4 linked regions of the Xenopus tropicalis genome follow. The protein of the gene in region 3 purifies or fractionates together with the protein of the main gene of each other region. This does not show direct contact. Links are inferred from orthologs where the notes say so. Each region holds a gene or a part of one and is shown on either strand. Other genes may lie near its edges.

Evidence for each region.
Region 1: the proteins of ran (region 3) and ncbp1 purify together in Homo sapiens (co-immunoprecipitation; 3 studies listed by BioGRID and IntAct, with this or other methods). This does not show direct contact. The link is inferred for Xenopus tropicalis from reciprocal best matches to the Homo sapiens genes RAN and NCBP1.
Region 2: the proteins of ran (region 3) and nup214 purify together in Homo sapiens (affinity purification with mass spectrometry; 3 studies listed by BioGRID and IntAct, counting the BioPlex papers as one, with this or other methods). This does not show direct contact. The link is inferred for Xenopus tropicalis from reciprocal best matches to the Homo sapiens genes RAN and NUP214.
Region 4: the proteins of ran (region 3) and ipo9 purify together in Homo sapiens (affinity purification with mass spectrometry; 3 studies listed by BioGRID and IntAct, with this or other methods). This does not show direct contact. The link is inferred for Xenopus tropicalis from reciprocal best matches to the Homo sapiens genes RAN and IPO9.

Annotation. Positions count from the first base shown.
Region 1 is NC_030677.2:107,423,913-107,427,479, reverse strand, and holds part of ncbp1 (nuclear cap-binding protein subunit 1), read right to left. Parts: intron 2,046-3,567; coding exon 1,830-2,045; intron 1,199-1,829; coding exon 1,101-1,198; intron 1-1,100. UniProt on the Homo sapiens protein: Component of the cap-binding complex (CBC), which binds cotranscriptionally to the 5'-cap of pre-mRNAs and is involved in various processes such as pre-mRNA splicing, translation regulation, nonsense-mediated mRNA decay, RNA-mediated gene silencing (RNAi) by microRNAs (miRNAs) and mRNA export.
Region 2 is NC_030684.2:12,371,324-12,374,890, forward strand, and holds part of nup214 (nuclear pore complex protein Nup214), read right to left. Parts: intron 3,221-3,567; coding exon 3,058-3,220; intron 2,216-3,057; coding exon 2,072-2,215; intron 1-2,071. UniProt on the Homo sapiens protein: Part of the nuclear pore complex. Has a critical role in nucleocytoplasmic transport.
Region 3 is NC_030677.2:157,743,343-157,747,540, forward strand, and holds the start of ran (GTP-binding nuclear protein Ran), read right to left. Parts: upstream 2,860-4,198; 5' UTR 2,704-2,859; exon of another isoform or gene 2,547-2,703; intron 2,159-2,546; exon of another isoform or gene 2,028-2,158; intron 1-2,027. UniProt on the Homo sapiens protein: GTPase involved in nucleocytoplasmic transport, participating both to the import and the export from the nucleus of proteins and RNAs. Switches between a cytoplasmic GDP- and a nuclear GTP-bound state by nucleotide exchange and GTP hydrolysis.
Region 4 is NC_030678.2:75,002,277-75,005,843, forward strand, and holds part of ipo9 (importin-9), read right to left. Parts: intron 964-3,567; coding exon 824-963; intron 30-823; coding exon 1-29. UniProt on the Homo sapiens protein: Nuclear transport receptor that mediates nuclear import of proteins, such as histones, proteasome and actin. Serves as receptor for nuclear localization signals (NLS) in cargo substrates.

The sequences.
Region 1 (3,567 bases), about 50 Mb from region 3:
ATTCTGAAGATAGACGAGTGAAAAAGGATTGCTTGGTCGCTGGAACCCCGCTTGCAGTTCTCTGATAACAGAAGCACCAGCCCAAGTATCAGGTAAGGCAGTGCTGTCCAACTGGCGGCCCTCTGTGTGGCCCCCCACCTGTCTGGCTGCTTTGATGGCTTACCTTTGTGTAACCTTTAAATGGTATCAGTACTGAGATTAACTGCCCCCCCAGCATGGTTCTCACCTCAGATTCAGGCTGTAATCAGGCTGTATTGTTTAAACATGTAATCCCCTGTGTTGTTCACACCTTTTAATCTCTGCATTGTTCACCCCCTGCAGTGTTCACACCTCAGGCTCAGGCTGTAATCACCCCCATTGTTCCCCTGTTCACACCTCAGGAGCAGTAGAAACCCACAAATAATCCCTGCACACTACAAAAAGAACATATACTGAGGTGGTACTTCAATTAAAAAGTTTTTTAATATATAGTTATTGTGCAGACTGTAGGAGCAGTGCCAGCATTGTGTCACTGTAGGCTGCCTGTGTGTGCCATACACACAGGCATCATAGGGCAAGCAGAGTATGGCACACACAGGCAGAGTATGGCACACACAGGCCAAGTATGGCACAAACCAGCCAAGAATGGTAAACACAGTGAAAGTATGGCAGGGTAGGGAAGGCAGAGTATGGCACACACAGGCAGGGTAGGGAAGGCAGAGTATGGCACACACAGGCAGGGTAGGGCAGGCAGAGTATGGCAGGTTTTTGCTGTACTATAACCATTAATATGGGTATGGTCATGTGATAACATGGGTGTGGTTTCAAGTGGGTGCGGTTTCAAAAAGGGGAGTGGTCAAAACTGGCTTCCATTATCGGCCCTCCACCACATAGGTCGGAAAAATTCCGGCCCTCGGTACAACAGAAGTTGGACAGCACTGAGGTAAGGGATTAAACCCCCCCCCCCTAGTGATTGTAACTTTCCTTCACTAAATCAGCAATTATAAGCCTGGGGCGCACAAAAAAAGTATTAAAGAGAAAAATCTATTAAATCTAATAAATATAGAACACTAGGTGGCCAACTTCAGAATTAAACAGAAAAAAAAGAAAAAAAGTCATACCATGTTTTCCTTTCACGCCAATGTGATCTAAGTATGCAATGCAGATTTTCTTCTATAACAAAGCGCTCTACAGAATGGCTTCCAGGCATGACTGGACCCTGCAAGAATATAAATATTGTAAAATTCCTGTGGGTAACAAAAAAATAAAATAGGGATTTTAATACACAATTCAAAATAGTCCACTAAATAAATTTCAAATTTGGTTGAAAACTCAGTGTGGAAGAGGGCCAGAACATTATTTAAACTGAGTGATGGACCCTGCAGACATCACTTGGGCAGCAGCCATACAGGAACAATTCTAATAATTTTCCCAACTATGCCGGGATATATTCCCTCATGTCCACACAATCTATTCATATCCTCATATCCAATGTAAGTTATAAAAGAGATTGCACGAAGTGCATTTATTTTCACTGAAACGCCGAACCTCTAAATAAATTTGGCCTCATATGCATAATTCAGTTAGTATGTCTGCATTAAGAATAGTTTACACAAATAACTTAGGACTGACAAATTAACTTGTATAAACATTACATGAAGTAAAAAAAAATGGGAACATTTATATGAAATTGCATCCAAACTCTCTAGTAGTTGTAGTTCAAAAACATATGAAAGGTCGAAACTAGCTGATGCCCTGTTAGACACAGGAACTATTCAACCCATCTGAACACATTCCTCTGATGTCCATAAAGCTCAAAGCTTTATAAGATTGCGCTCGTTATTCTTTACCTCAGGTGCATCTGTGTAGTCAAACATCCTGAAAACAACTCTTGGCACTGGGTACACAGAATCTTCAGTATGAGGTGGTGGTGTAAATGGTGGAAGATTGTGCTGCAGAGCTTCACACAAAACGCTGTCAAAGGCTAGGTATGGACGTAGGATGTGTCTTTCTTGCCAACGGTCCTTTTTTAACTTCTGTATTTGTGCCCACAAGCAGTCTAAATACTGAAGAGAATGCAGAAGTTTTCAAATGTAAATTAAAGTAGAAACACCTTAAAATCCATCAACTTAATTTGATTCACTCTTATAAGGCTGTTAAATGTTTTCTAGATCACCAACTTTAGTATCTGTATGATTTTCTAGGCATTTATTTCCTGGTACAACCAATTGGCACGTAGCATATTCTCCCCTTTAATTTTTTTTTTTAAAACAGAAAAGAAGCCCCTTATCTGGCTTTTCAGCAAGTAAACTACTTAACGGAATACTGTCATGGGAAAACATGTTTTTTTCAAAACGCATCAGTTAATAGAGCTTCTCCAGCAGAATCCTGCATTGAAATAGTTTTTTTTAAAGCACAAACAGATTTTTTATATTTAATTTTAAAATTTCACATGGGGCAGAACACAGTTAGCAGAACAATGGGAAGGTAGCAAGATAGCAGCTCCCAGTAGATATCAGAATAGCACTCAATAGTAGGAAACCCAAGTCCGGCTTGGGACTCCTCCAGATACATGGGAGTAGGAGAAACAATAGGTTATCTGAAAGCAGTTCTAATATGTAGCGCTGGCTCCTTCTGAAAGCTCAGCACAATGCCCTGAGATGGCTGCCTACACACCAATATTACAGCTAAAAAACAAAAAAAAATACATTTGTTGGTTCAAGAATAATATTTTAAACGGTAGAATTATTTACTATGTAAAAAGTGTAATTTAGAAATAAAAAGTATACCATAAAAATCATGACAATTTCTTTAATCTTTCTCTTGCCTACACTGGGGGAAACAGGCACCATGGGGACATGCCGAAGCAACCCATGATGTTTCCCCTGAAACATTCAGAAAACACTGCCTGTAATACCCACATCCCAAAGCTAGCTTGATCTAGGGACTGTATGTAAACCTTGTAGAGAAGAAAGCAAGTGTAAGAAAAACCAGGTAACTGTTTTGTAAATCTGCTTAGCAGACCCCTGGGTGCTGATGGCTCGAGTAGAATGAGCTGGAAAGGACTGTTCACCTACCTGCCAGCCGTAGTGTTGCCCCAGCCAATGCATAACCTGCATATTAGACAGGTGCAGACCTCTCCGAGAGAGAAAAATGAAGCATCAGACAGGGGAAAACTTGCCTGCAGACCTCCATGAAGCGGGAAGGCATTTGGGCACCCTAAAAGGTTTAATCTTCCTCAGGGGGCTGGAGGGTCTCTAAAATAATCATGGCCCTAAAGCAGCATGGCCTTGATCTGCAGTCCTGACCATCTGCTAAGGACTGTGGAGTCACTCTGACCTTTTCCTGTGCATTTTTCAAGGCTAAAATCAGCACATTCAGAAATGTGAAGAAAAACCTACAAGCATCCATTAAACATTAAAGGCCACCTACCATACAAAAAATGTTCCCCTGACCCCACTAAATGCTTAGTCACCCACCGGGATCTCCTGGTGCAGGTGGCCATGTTGGGACATTAACAACAGCTTCCCAGCTTTGGCTTGGTCCGCACACTTGTATCGATGTTATGCTCGTGTAGCATCACATATA
Region 2 (3,567 bases), on a different chromosome or scaffold from region 3:
ATAACGGGTCCTATACCTGTATGTGTAAGTGCCAGACTAATAACCAGTTGCCAATGCCGACAGGCTATTCCCGCCAGTGCTTACTAATACACAGTAAGACTATTAGCTCTGCATGGGATAACATATTGCAGGCCAGTAAAACAGTGAAAGGTGTAGCCTCCCTGCTCCATACCCCAAAATTAAAAAAAAGAAAAGTTGCCCTTGAATTATTGATTGAAGTGGTTTGGAGATTTGGTTACGGCATGTTTATTAATGATCCGCTTATAACGAAGGCCAGGGGGAAGCCCGGCTGTATGAGGGCGGAGCTAAGAGACAGGGAAGGGAGTAATACATGGAGTCCCCATTGCTTCCTCAGCACGAGCCGAGTACTGGGAATAAATGTACATTCTCTAGCAGCAGAGAGCTAGCCTTAGTTACAGGGCACAGGAAGGACACGCTCAGACATTTCCTCGGCTACAAATTAATGTGTGGTTACTATGGGAAGGATAAGGCCTTCGTTTGGGCCTGACCCCAGAGCGGTGTTTGTGCAAAGCCACATCCCTCAATCCAATTATTGGTGACATGTTCTGCCTAGGCCTGAATCAATCACCAGCACCGCCGTGCCAGGACTTAGTAGTGTAAGGGTTTTAACCCCATTATAGGACCAATTGCCTAGTAATGGTGTCTGTAAGTGCACACAATAAGCTGTACCCTCATACTGTACTGTCTAAGGGAAACACTATGGCACCTCCCTCCCATATGTATAAATACAAATATACAGAGAAGGAATGTTCTGGGCACACAATAAGCTGTACCCTCATACTGTACTGTCTAAGGGAAACACTATGGCACCTCCCTCCCATATGTATAAATACAAATATACAGAGAAGGAATGTTCTGGGCACACAATAAGCTGTACCCTCATACTGTACTGTCTAAGGGAAACACTATGGCACCTCCCTCCCATATGTATAAATACAAATATACAGAGAAGGAATGTTCTGGGCACACAATAAGCTGTACCCCCATACTGTACTGTCTAAGGGAAACACTATGGCACCTCCCTCCCATATGTATAAATACAAATATACAGAGAAGGAATGTTCTGGGCACACAATAAGCTGTACCCCCATACTGTACTGTCTAAGGGAAACACTATGGCACCTCCCTCCCATATGTATAAATACAAATATACAGAGAAGGAATGTTCTGGGCACACAATAAGCTGTACCCTCATACTGTACTGTCTAAGGGAAACACTATGGCACCTCCCTCCCATATGTATAAATACAAATATACAGAGAAGGAATGTTCTGGGCACACAATAAGCTGTACCCCCGTACTGTACTGTCTAAGGGAAACACTATGGCACCTCCCTCCCATATGTATAAATACAAATATACAGAGAAGGAACGTTCTGGGCACACAATAAGCTGTACCCTCATACTGTACTGTCTAAGGCAAACACTATGGCACCTCCCTCCCATATGTTTAAATACAAATATACAGAGAAGGAATGTTCTGGGCATACAATAAGCTGTACCCCCATACTGTACTGTCTAAGGGAAACACTATGGCACCTCCCTCCCATATGTATAAATACAAATATACAGAGAAGGAATGTTCTGGGCACACAATAAGCTGTACCCTCATACTGTACTGTCTAAGGGAAACACTATGGCACCTCCCTCCCATATGTATAAATACAAATATACAGAGAAGGAATGTTCTGGGCACACAATAAGCTGTACCCCCATACTGTACTGTCTAAGGGAAACACTATGGCACCTCCCTCCCATATGTATAAATACAAATATACAAAGAAGGAATGTTCTGGGCACACAATAAGCTGTACCCCCATACTGTACTGTCTAAGGGAAACATTATGGCACCTCCCTCCCATATGTATAAATACAAATATACAGAGAAGGAATGTTCTGGGCACACAATAAGCTGTACCCCCATACTGTACTGTCTAAGGGAAACACTATGGCACCTCCCTCCCATATGTATAAATACAAATATACAGAGAAGGAATGTTCTGGGAGCACATGACCAGACTGCAATGCAACATGTACCATATGTACAATACCTGTCTTAGTGGGGCTGGGGAAGCCGAATCCCTGGGAGGCCACACTGCCACCTGCGCTGAATGTTCCCGAGGGTTTCTCCCCAAACGATGTGCCGCCAAACCCAAAAGACTTGGCTCCACTGTTGCCAAACAGGTTGCTGGCATCTGCAATTAATAGGGTGATCAGGGCATCACTTCTAAAGCACACCACAACATCCAAACTGGTCAGATTTAGTACTCTCACCATTTGCCTTTGATATTGCTCCCAGCAGCCTCGAAGTAGGCGTCTATTTTTACATTTTTGGCCTAGACTCCGTTTTAGTTCAAGCAGAGCCTCCTGTAGGCTAGCAGTCCATATGGGGCTATCGAATAGCCAATCACAATCTTTATTTGGAACCCCAAACACATGCTTGTGTGGCTCACCAACACTTAATTGGCTCACAACTAAAATAGGTTATGGATCTTGTCTCTAACAGCACTAGTCCATTGAAATTTGCCGGCTGGTTGCTATGGATAAACAGTAAAGTAATAAAACTGTAGCTTTACAGAACCATAGACTTTGGCTGCTGGGGTCTGGAAAGCAGCAGTAGGAGAAAGCAAATCATTCAAAAACTATAAAAAAAAAAACCTAAAAAAGTTGCTAAGAATAAGCCAATTTATACCTGTATATAATAAGTTTGGGTTGTACAGGTGACCTATCCCTTTAAATGCAGGAAGAAACCCTTTGGAAGTCAGCGAGGCAGTAATTTTTCCAGACATCTGCAATGCAGAGAGTGTCTCCCAGCTCCTCAGACACTGCTACCCACAGGGAGTTCAAGAGCAGCCAGAACCACTATCTGCTACATTCATCAAGGAGATCCAATAGCCTGACAGCAGAATCACCATGTGACCTACTTCAGCTATTGTCCCTATAATAACCTCACAAGCCCTTACCCCTATAAAGCTTTTATTAATAGGCTGTATGTTTGCAGGTATGGGCGGCTTCAGCTGGAACAAGTGGCACTTACTGGATGCATTGGCTGCACCAAAAGTAGAGGAACCCGGGGAACCAAAAGGATTCTTGTTGGCAGCTTCCTGGCTGGGTTTTGCTCCGAGGCCGCTGAATAACCCTCCGGTACCCGCTCCACTGCTTCCTGCTCCAAATAGGCCCCCGCTGGAAGGAGCCGACTGCTGCAGAAACACAGGGGATACTGTGAATTATAGAATATACACAGTACTGCATATCCTAATGTAATGCATTATTTAGGCCTAGGTAGAAATACATTTAAAAAGGAGACACTTGGACTTTAGAGAACCATGCAGGAGGTTTCCGTGTCATACCAACAGGTATCAGATTTATGAGTGTTCCACAGAATACAAAATATAGGTAAATTAAATTTATTTTTGGAAAACAAAGGCCAAACATCATAGGCCATAAATCCCATTAGATGAGAACCAGTCCCTTGCTTTTGTTTAGGCAAGGACAAAGGGAAAGTGTTATTGGCAGTCAGGAAAGGAAAACCAAACTGAACTAGGGC
Region 3 (4,198 bases):
CCCAGAACATTCAGCTTTAGCATAGTCAGCCCACATCACTTGATCCTCCCTCACTTTTACACCTCTTATTCATGAATGTTAAAGGAGCATTGTGTAAAGAGAAAATAGTTGATACTGTAGGTTTCATCTTACACTGTTTACTAGGAATTCTTGAATGACTCAGTGGTTAAAAAGGTAAAAATCATGGGAGGGTGTACATTTGCTAGAACTCACCAATGGTTCTAATCTATCATGGGCTAGTGGCCTTCCTCTAAAAAAAAAAAATAATGCACCAGCATGCCTTACTTTACCTTCCTAAACATTCCCTGTGACACCACAAAAAGCAGAAAAAAAGATGGAGTGGGGGTCAGAATTACATCATGCATTTTTATTTTTTGTAAATGAGCACTAATGAGATAGGTTAGTGATTAAAGTCATTGGGTGCCAGTTGGCAAGACATGCCCCCAGTGATTCCTAATGTTCCAGTTGAGTGCACACAAATTAAAAAAAATATACTTTATAAACTGATCAACTGCCTTACACAGTACATATCTTTACACCATACAAAGCGTTAAGGCCATTGGACATTCAATTACATATATGGGTGCAGTAAAGTCATTCTAATAGACCTTTAACGTTTTCCCATGAACCTGAACAACTACCCAACTGACCCATGGGAAATCAAAGACAGTCACGTGTTCTCAAACAACATTTCTCGCCAGCAGAGCAGGGAAATACATGTATGGGTAATAACACAAAATGAACCACTTTCTGAAGCTGCTGTAAACCAAAAGCTCACAACATAGTGCATTACATGGCGCCAAACAAGCAGCCAGAGCTGGAAACCACCATCACAATTTGGGCTTAAGAGCGACAAAGCATAGAGGCTGGAGCAAAGCTTGATGGCTTATAAAAATGTGGGGCGGAGCTACCAGCTAAAAACACACACAGTTCTGCCAGAGCTGTGATGCCATCTTCTGAAATGTCCCAGGTGCCTTGTGGTCATCAGGATTGCACACATCAACTGCGGTTGGACCCAAAAAGACTGCTGAAACATTATAGAACACAGTGGCATGGTTCTGGTACTACTAAGCGGTCAGAAAGAACTGACCTGGGATTTAGAGTTAACCCCCCGTGACTGCAATTGCCAACAAATTGGCACCCCCAATCCTTTCTCTTTTCACTGTCCTTTAAGACACTTATCTTGTGTATTAAAGCATTGGTTTGGTATGCCCAACAACCTGGATGCCTGTATTTGCTTAAAAGGTATCTAAAACCAAAGACTTTTCAAATACACAAAGCTTAGATCCAGTTTTCATCCCTTTCTGCTCTCTACCTCTGGCTCAAACAAAAATGTCAGTTTCTGTCAGGCCTGTTAGGCTAAGGACAAAAGCAGAGTTTCTTCAACAGAGGGAAAAAGATACTGGCCCATGTGTAGTGTTATCAATACCAGCCATTTATATGTACACTTGTGCCAACATCTGCCTATAAACAGAGCAACAGGAAGTTACTGCCAACATCACTGCATAGCAACAGTACAAAAAACCCCACAGGATGTGCAATTAGCCTTAATCAGCTTGCATCTGCCAATATCACAAAAAAGTGTGTAAGTATATAAGAAAAGTAGCTTCTAATTAAATGTTGTTTTCTTTGTAAAAATAGAGCTTTGGGTTGGAGTTTCCGTTTAAGTAAAACTTTGTGTGCCAGAAGTTAGAGGCCCACGTGTGAGGAATAGCTGCAGCGCATTGGCTCAGCGCAGGTACCAGCAGGCGGAATAGCACGCAGGCCAACCCACCCACTAAAGCTTGTGGAAACAACTGCCCATCGCTGCCAATGCCATTTTGGTTACGTGACAGAACAATGCCAATTTCACGCCTGACAAAGTTGGGTCCCACATGACAATTAGTCACTGGGACCAGGATTAGTGGATTAAAAAAAATCCATTCTCCGTGCTAACTATCGGCTGACCCATAAATGTTTGTCTCAACTAGCAAGCTCCGGCCAATACATAATCTATCGGCCACCCCTCCACCCCAGCTAAGTGGTACCTTCCCGCAAGCTAGCAGGCCTAGGAGAGCAGGGCGGTGCGGTTAATAGAACAAGGCCGGGGATGCTAGCGTCGCGCCTCAGTGACACATGAGGTTCCGGGGTGAATGAGCGCTAATGGCGGGGACGCGCTTCCTGCGACGGCCTGCTTCCCGGTTTCCCCGCAAACTACATAGGTTTTAACTAGTCTGCCTTTACTTAACAGCCACAATATTGAGTATGTATAAACCCGGCCTACATGGCACTTCATGGGACTCGGCCTAGTACAAGTCATGTTTATCGCGCCTGATACTGTCTAGTCACCGGCGAAATAAAAAGAAGAGGCCACACAAACGAGAGAACTCGCCCACTGATAATTAGCAGAATACGTGTAGCCTCTGCTAACAGAACATCCCAGCAAATTACATAAGGAACTAGCAGTGAAGTCCCATAAAGAATGTAGCGCCATGGAGGAAAAAAAGCGCGCCAACATATAACTCCCCCCGCCTCTCATCAGGCTCTCAGCCCCGCTTTTCCCTTACCGACTAGAATCCCTCTCAAATCTACCGTGCCCGGCCGCACGATTAACCAGCGAGTGCTACAAGAGCTTCGGGACGCTTTGCGAATAGGGATGGCCGAGATGTCGGGCGGATTATGCGGCAGGGCCCAGCCTATATCTCCCACGGGTTAGAATCTCACCTTCCAGAAGCGTCTGTAAAGCAGCGAGAGAAAATGGCGGAAGCGGGATTCAAATAGCAGGGCGCGCTCTGGGAGGGGCGGTGACGTGGGAGGCGATGACGTCAGTGCGGGCAGTGCAAGCAGCAGCAATGCGGCGGGCGGGAGTGCGGGGAAAGGCCTATAGGCGGGAAGGTTTGAATGAAAGGACTTACGTAAGGGCTCCGTGTAGCGCGCCTCTTCTGGCGCAGCACTAACAAAGGGCTATCTGCAGCGTGTCATGTACAAATGGCACATTGTTTTACGTTTTTACGTATGTCAACTGATAGAAGTGGGTTGCACTGAGGAACACAAAGGGAAAAATGGCATAAGCTCCGACTCTGTGACTCTACTACCATCAAGAGTTTAAATACCGGGGAATTCCCTACCAGTCATTTGAACTGAAGAAGCCACTCGGATTAGTGGTGAAACATTTCAAGAAAACTCAGAAAAAGTCCAGTTGTTTTAGACTTAATTCTACTAGATACTCCGAGACCATGCTTTATGCGTTAATAACGTTTTGCTGTTGAAGGTGAACACTTTAAACCCTCAAAAACAATATATGCTTTTTTTTAATTCAATTTAGCAACACGATATAAGCTAATAATTACATTTTACATAATACAGACATACTGTATATCAGAAAAAATTCATTTTATGCCTGAAGATACAACTGATTTGGAATGCCCTGTATCTACTGACTGTCAACACAAGATTTGTATAGTTTCATAGAATTGTTTGACTTGTATGGGCCAAAATATCAGCAACACAGTAACAAAGTACCCAAACAAACCATACATATTTTTAAAGAATACATTATGGCAAATCCAAAAGCCATGAATATCTCTCAATACTCTAAACTAGCCAACTGCAATCCTTTCCTTAAGTTAGGGATTTTTATAACAATTTCTGGAATTTTGAAAAATTTGCACTAAACCTTTCCCATTTGAGCATCTTATTTCCTACATGAGGTATCAATATAAAACACCCCAAATATGAACATCAGGGCTCTACTTAATATTAACACATTCTCCCAAATCCAAATGAATATGTCTTTCTACTCCAAACCACAAACCCTTCCTGAATTTGGTGGTTTTTATTACATTTTGGAAAATCACTTTAAAGCTTCCACTTTGTAGCATCTTATGACAATTCGCGAAAAAGTCGCAAAATACCGATCATTACGAAAAAAACGCCTTCGGACACTTTTCGGACGTTCGTGGATTAGTAAATGTGCCCCCAGGGCTCTGCTAAACAGTTTGATGTCCAATGTGAGTAAGTTTACCAAAGTATGTGGCATATAGGGGCCCCAAAATTAAATACCCCATGTGATTTATCATTGCTCTTATTTTAGTTACTGCAAATATCAACACCAAGAGGCACATTTATCAAAGCATGATGACCACAATTGCAAAAATTATGTATATTTTTTCTAATGTTTATAACTTTTCATACTGATCACAATAATATCGTTAAAATT
Region 4 (3,567 bases), on a different chromosome or scaffold from region 3:
TAGAGAGCGTCCCAGGAGGAATGGAGATACTGATGGGAATATTGGATATATTTCAGTTAAAGTAAACAATAAATTACACAAGTAAGAATGCTTAAAACAAAAAAAGAACCTCTCAGGTATGACTTTGGGGCCCTCTTAAAGGAATACTTTCATGGAAAAACAAGTTTTTTCAAAATGCATCAGTTAAAAGAGCTTCTCCAGCAGAATCCTGCATTGAAATCCATTTTTCAAAAACAGTGTAAATATGTGTCCTTGATATCCAAGGGCATCAAGAGTTGGTTTGGTGCCTTGATGACTAAGCGCAGCTTCTCCTTTGTGAGATAATGGCTCAAGCCCTTGATAGGAAGGAGGGGGTGCTCCTTCCTAAAGAGATTGGAGTAAAGCCCACAGAACTGCTCCCGCTATGGTACCAGGACAACCCGTTTCAGTTACATTTTAGAAAGCGAGACTTTCCACATGACTTTAAACATGAAAAATCTCTGGGGAGAAGTTGCCGAGAACTCTAAGTGGCATCTCTTCAACCCATATAGAAGGCTAACACTGTAGGGTACAGCGAGTCCTGTCCCAGGTCAGTGCTGTGGGTCTTATGTAGACAAGACACTTAAATATGTCAAACAGGAAAGCTTATGGGTAAGGGTAGAGTATTCCTGGCCCATCCTCTTTTTTTCTGTCCTGCCTTCTGAAGGATGGACCTTAACCCAGTAGGTCCCCCACCCCCCTCACCACTTTGTTTTTACTTTTATACAGATCCATGAACAATATATCTGCCAACTGTTAAACATTGCTCTAATTAACACAGCTCTACAAACCCATCAACACACACCTGAAAGGTTGAGATCTGAAAGGATGACACCAGTTAGGAATCCATGCATATCAAACTGCACCCGTCCACTCTGAACACCTTCTGTGATCACAGACTTTACTGATCCAAGGGCCAGCATACAGGCCTCATGTATCTTCCACCTATGTAAAAGGGAAAGCAAGTAAAATTGGATTATTATTACACAGCTTGTATAAATAGACTATGTATGTACCAGACACACACTGTTCTTTTAAGTTTTCTCTGGATCTGATTATGCAGTCTTCCCGATAAATTGCCCATGTTATTGCTGGTATTTAGTGCTACACGTATCCTTGAAATAACTGGTTGCTGTCCAATATGTTAAAGCAACAGTAACACCCAAAAATTAAAGTGTATCAAAATGATTAATATATTATGTACTACTGTCCTGCACTGGTAAAAGTTGTGTGTTTGCTTCAGGAACACTACTATAGTTTATCTAAGCAAAATTGTTGTGTAATCATGGGAGCCGCCATTCAAATTGAAAAAAGGAGAATAGGCACAGGTTACATAGCAGATAACAGATACATTGCATAGATTCCCATTATATTCTACAAAGCTTTTCTGTTACCTGCTATGTAACCTTCAGGGCAATAGTATATAATATCTTGATTACTTTGGTACACTTTAATTGTTTGGTGTTCCTTTAAAGGAGAAAGAAAGGTAAAAACTAAGTAAGCTTTATCAGAAAGGTCTATGTAAATACAGCCATAAGCACTCACAGAAACGCTGCACTGACTTCTCTGAAAAGATTAGTTGTGTCTAATTCCTGTGCCAGATACACACAGCTTTCTGTTCTCTGCTCTTTCCTGCTCCCCCCTCCCTCAAGAATGCTAAGAACTCACTTTCCCCCTTAGGAATGTGGATCTGAGCCAATCAGCAGGAAGCTGACTCATAGTCTTACACACTGAGCATGTTCACTTGGTCTGGGTGTCTGTGCAGGTGTGAGGTATTATGGGAACTTTCTTTACACAGCTCAGCGTATTTTCTTCCTGTTTGGCTTCAGATTTTCTGAAAAGGTGAAATATGGGGAGACTTAAGGGCACTATTGAGACAACTGAAGGTATGCCTGCAGCTTGAGATTAACTCTTTACCAGCCTTTCCTTCTCCTTTAATAAAATGTTAAATGTTCCTTTAATAAAGGTCTACAAATGGAAATGTATTATTTTATTTAACAGAGGTCTTACATATTCCACAGGCCTATTTTCAAGTATTAATAAATCAATCACTTTTGGGGGTAAACGGTTTGCAAACATATAAACATTCATGGAAAATAATTTTCCATAAGCAAACCATTTGGACCTCAACCTTACTACAAATCTGAAAGTGTCTTGGGGAATGCCGTCAATTCTGTAGGGCAACAGCCAGCAAGAAACAGCCCATGTGTCCTTCCCATCTTTTTTTTTTGTAATTGTACTAAAATTGGATTGCAGCAGCTTGAGAAAGTGGCAGGGTTGGACTGGGGGTGCCGCCCCCTCAGGGGCTCTTGCAGGTCGCCTCACCCCCCTCCCGTACATAATGCATAGCACCGGAGCATCGGGGGAGAGCTATTAGCGCTCAAGGGAGGGAACTGGGTCTGAGCCAGCAGGGCCCCACTACGGCTTGGGGCCCAGTCCGACCCTGGACAGTGGAGCACCAGCAAATGGGTGGTGTGCTTTAGTTTCTTATCAGCTATGACAATGCCACAATGATGGCATAATGTCATGGGAAAACATTTTTGTTTTGTTTTGTTTTGTTTTTTAAAAACACATCAGTTAATAGAGCATCTCCAGCATTTAATTTTGAAATTTCACATGGGGCTAGCCATATTGTTCATTTCCCAGGGTGCCACAGCCATGTGACTTATACTCTGATAAACTTCAGTCCTACTTTACTGCAAGCTGGAGTGATATCGGCAATTCGGGGAGATTAGTCGTCCGCGAATTTGTCGCGGGCGACTAATCTCCCCGTGTGCCAGAGCCCTTAAAGTGGTAGATATCAGAATAGCACTCAATAGTAAAAAAATCCAAGCCTGACTTGGAACTCCACCAGTTACATGGAGTAGGAGAAACAAGAACAACATTTTAAATGGCACAGTGAATTATTTTCTATGTAAACAGTGTAATTTTGAAATAAAAAGTACACCATAAAAATCATGACAGAATCCCTTTAACAACCAGGGGCGTTTGTTACCAAGCAGGAAGATCCTGGAGAGGACAAAGCGCCACAATCTATCATCCAGATCTAAATATAGAGTTTTTACCCAACTATCTAAATCTGGCCATACACGTGGCGATCTGACGATGTTTCGTACGACCATCGGTCGCACGAAACATCGTAAGATCCGCCACACACCATTCAGGGCTGAATCGGCAGGTAAGGAGGTAGAAACAATAGGATTTCTACCTCCTTCTGCCGATTCAGCTCTGAAGGGAGAATTTGTCAGGCGCCTTCTAACCTTGTTTCGTACGATAATATCGGTGCGTGTATGGCCACCTTAACCCACACAAATGTCCTATCAGAGTTTTTGACCATTTTTTAAAGTCAAACCCAGACAGAAATAGACTGGATAATGATCAGACACAGTCTGGGTGTAGTTGCATTTGTAGCCTCATGTGTGGCTTGTGCACCATTCTGTTATTTCCCTGGATCCTCAAAAGGATCAAGAGAAAATGTACAATTAGACTTACACTGACCCAGGTAAATACGGTTTGCTGACGGCTTGTGTCAACAACACTCTAAGGAAT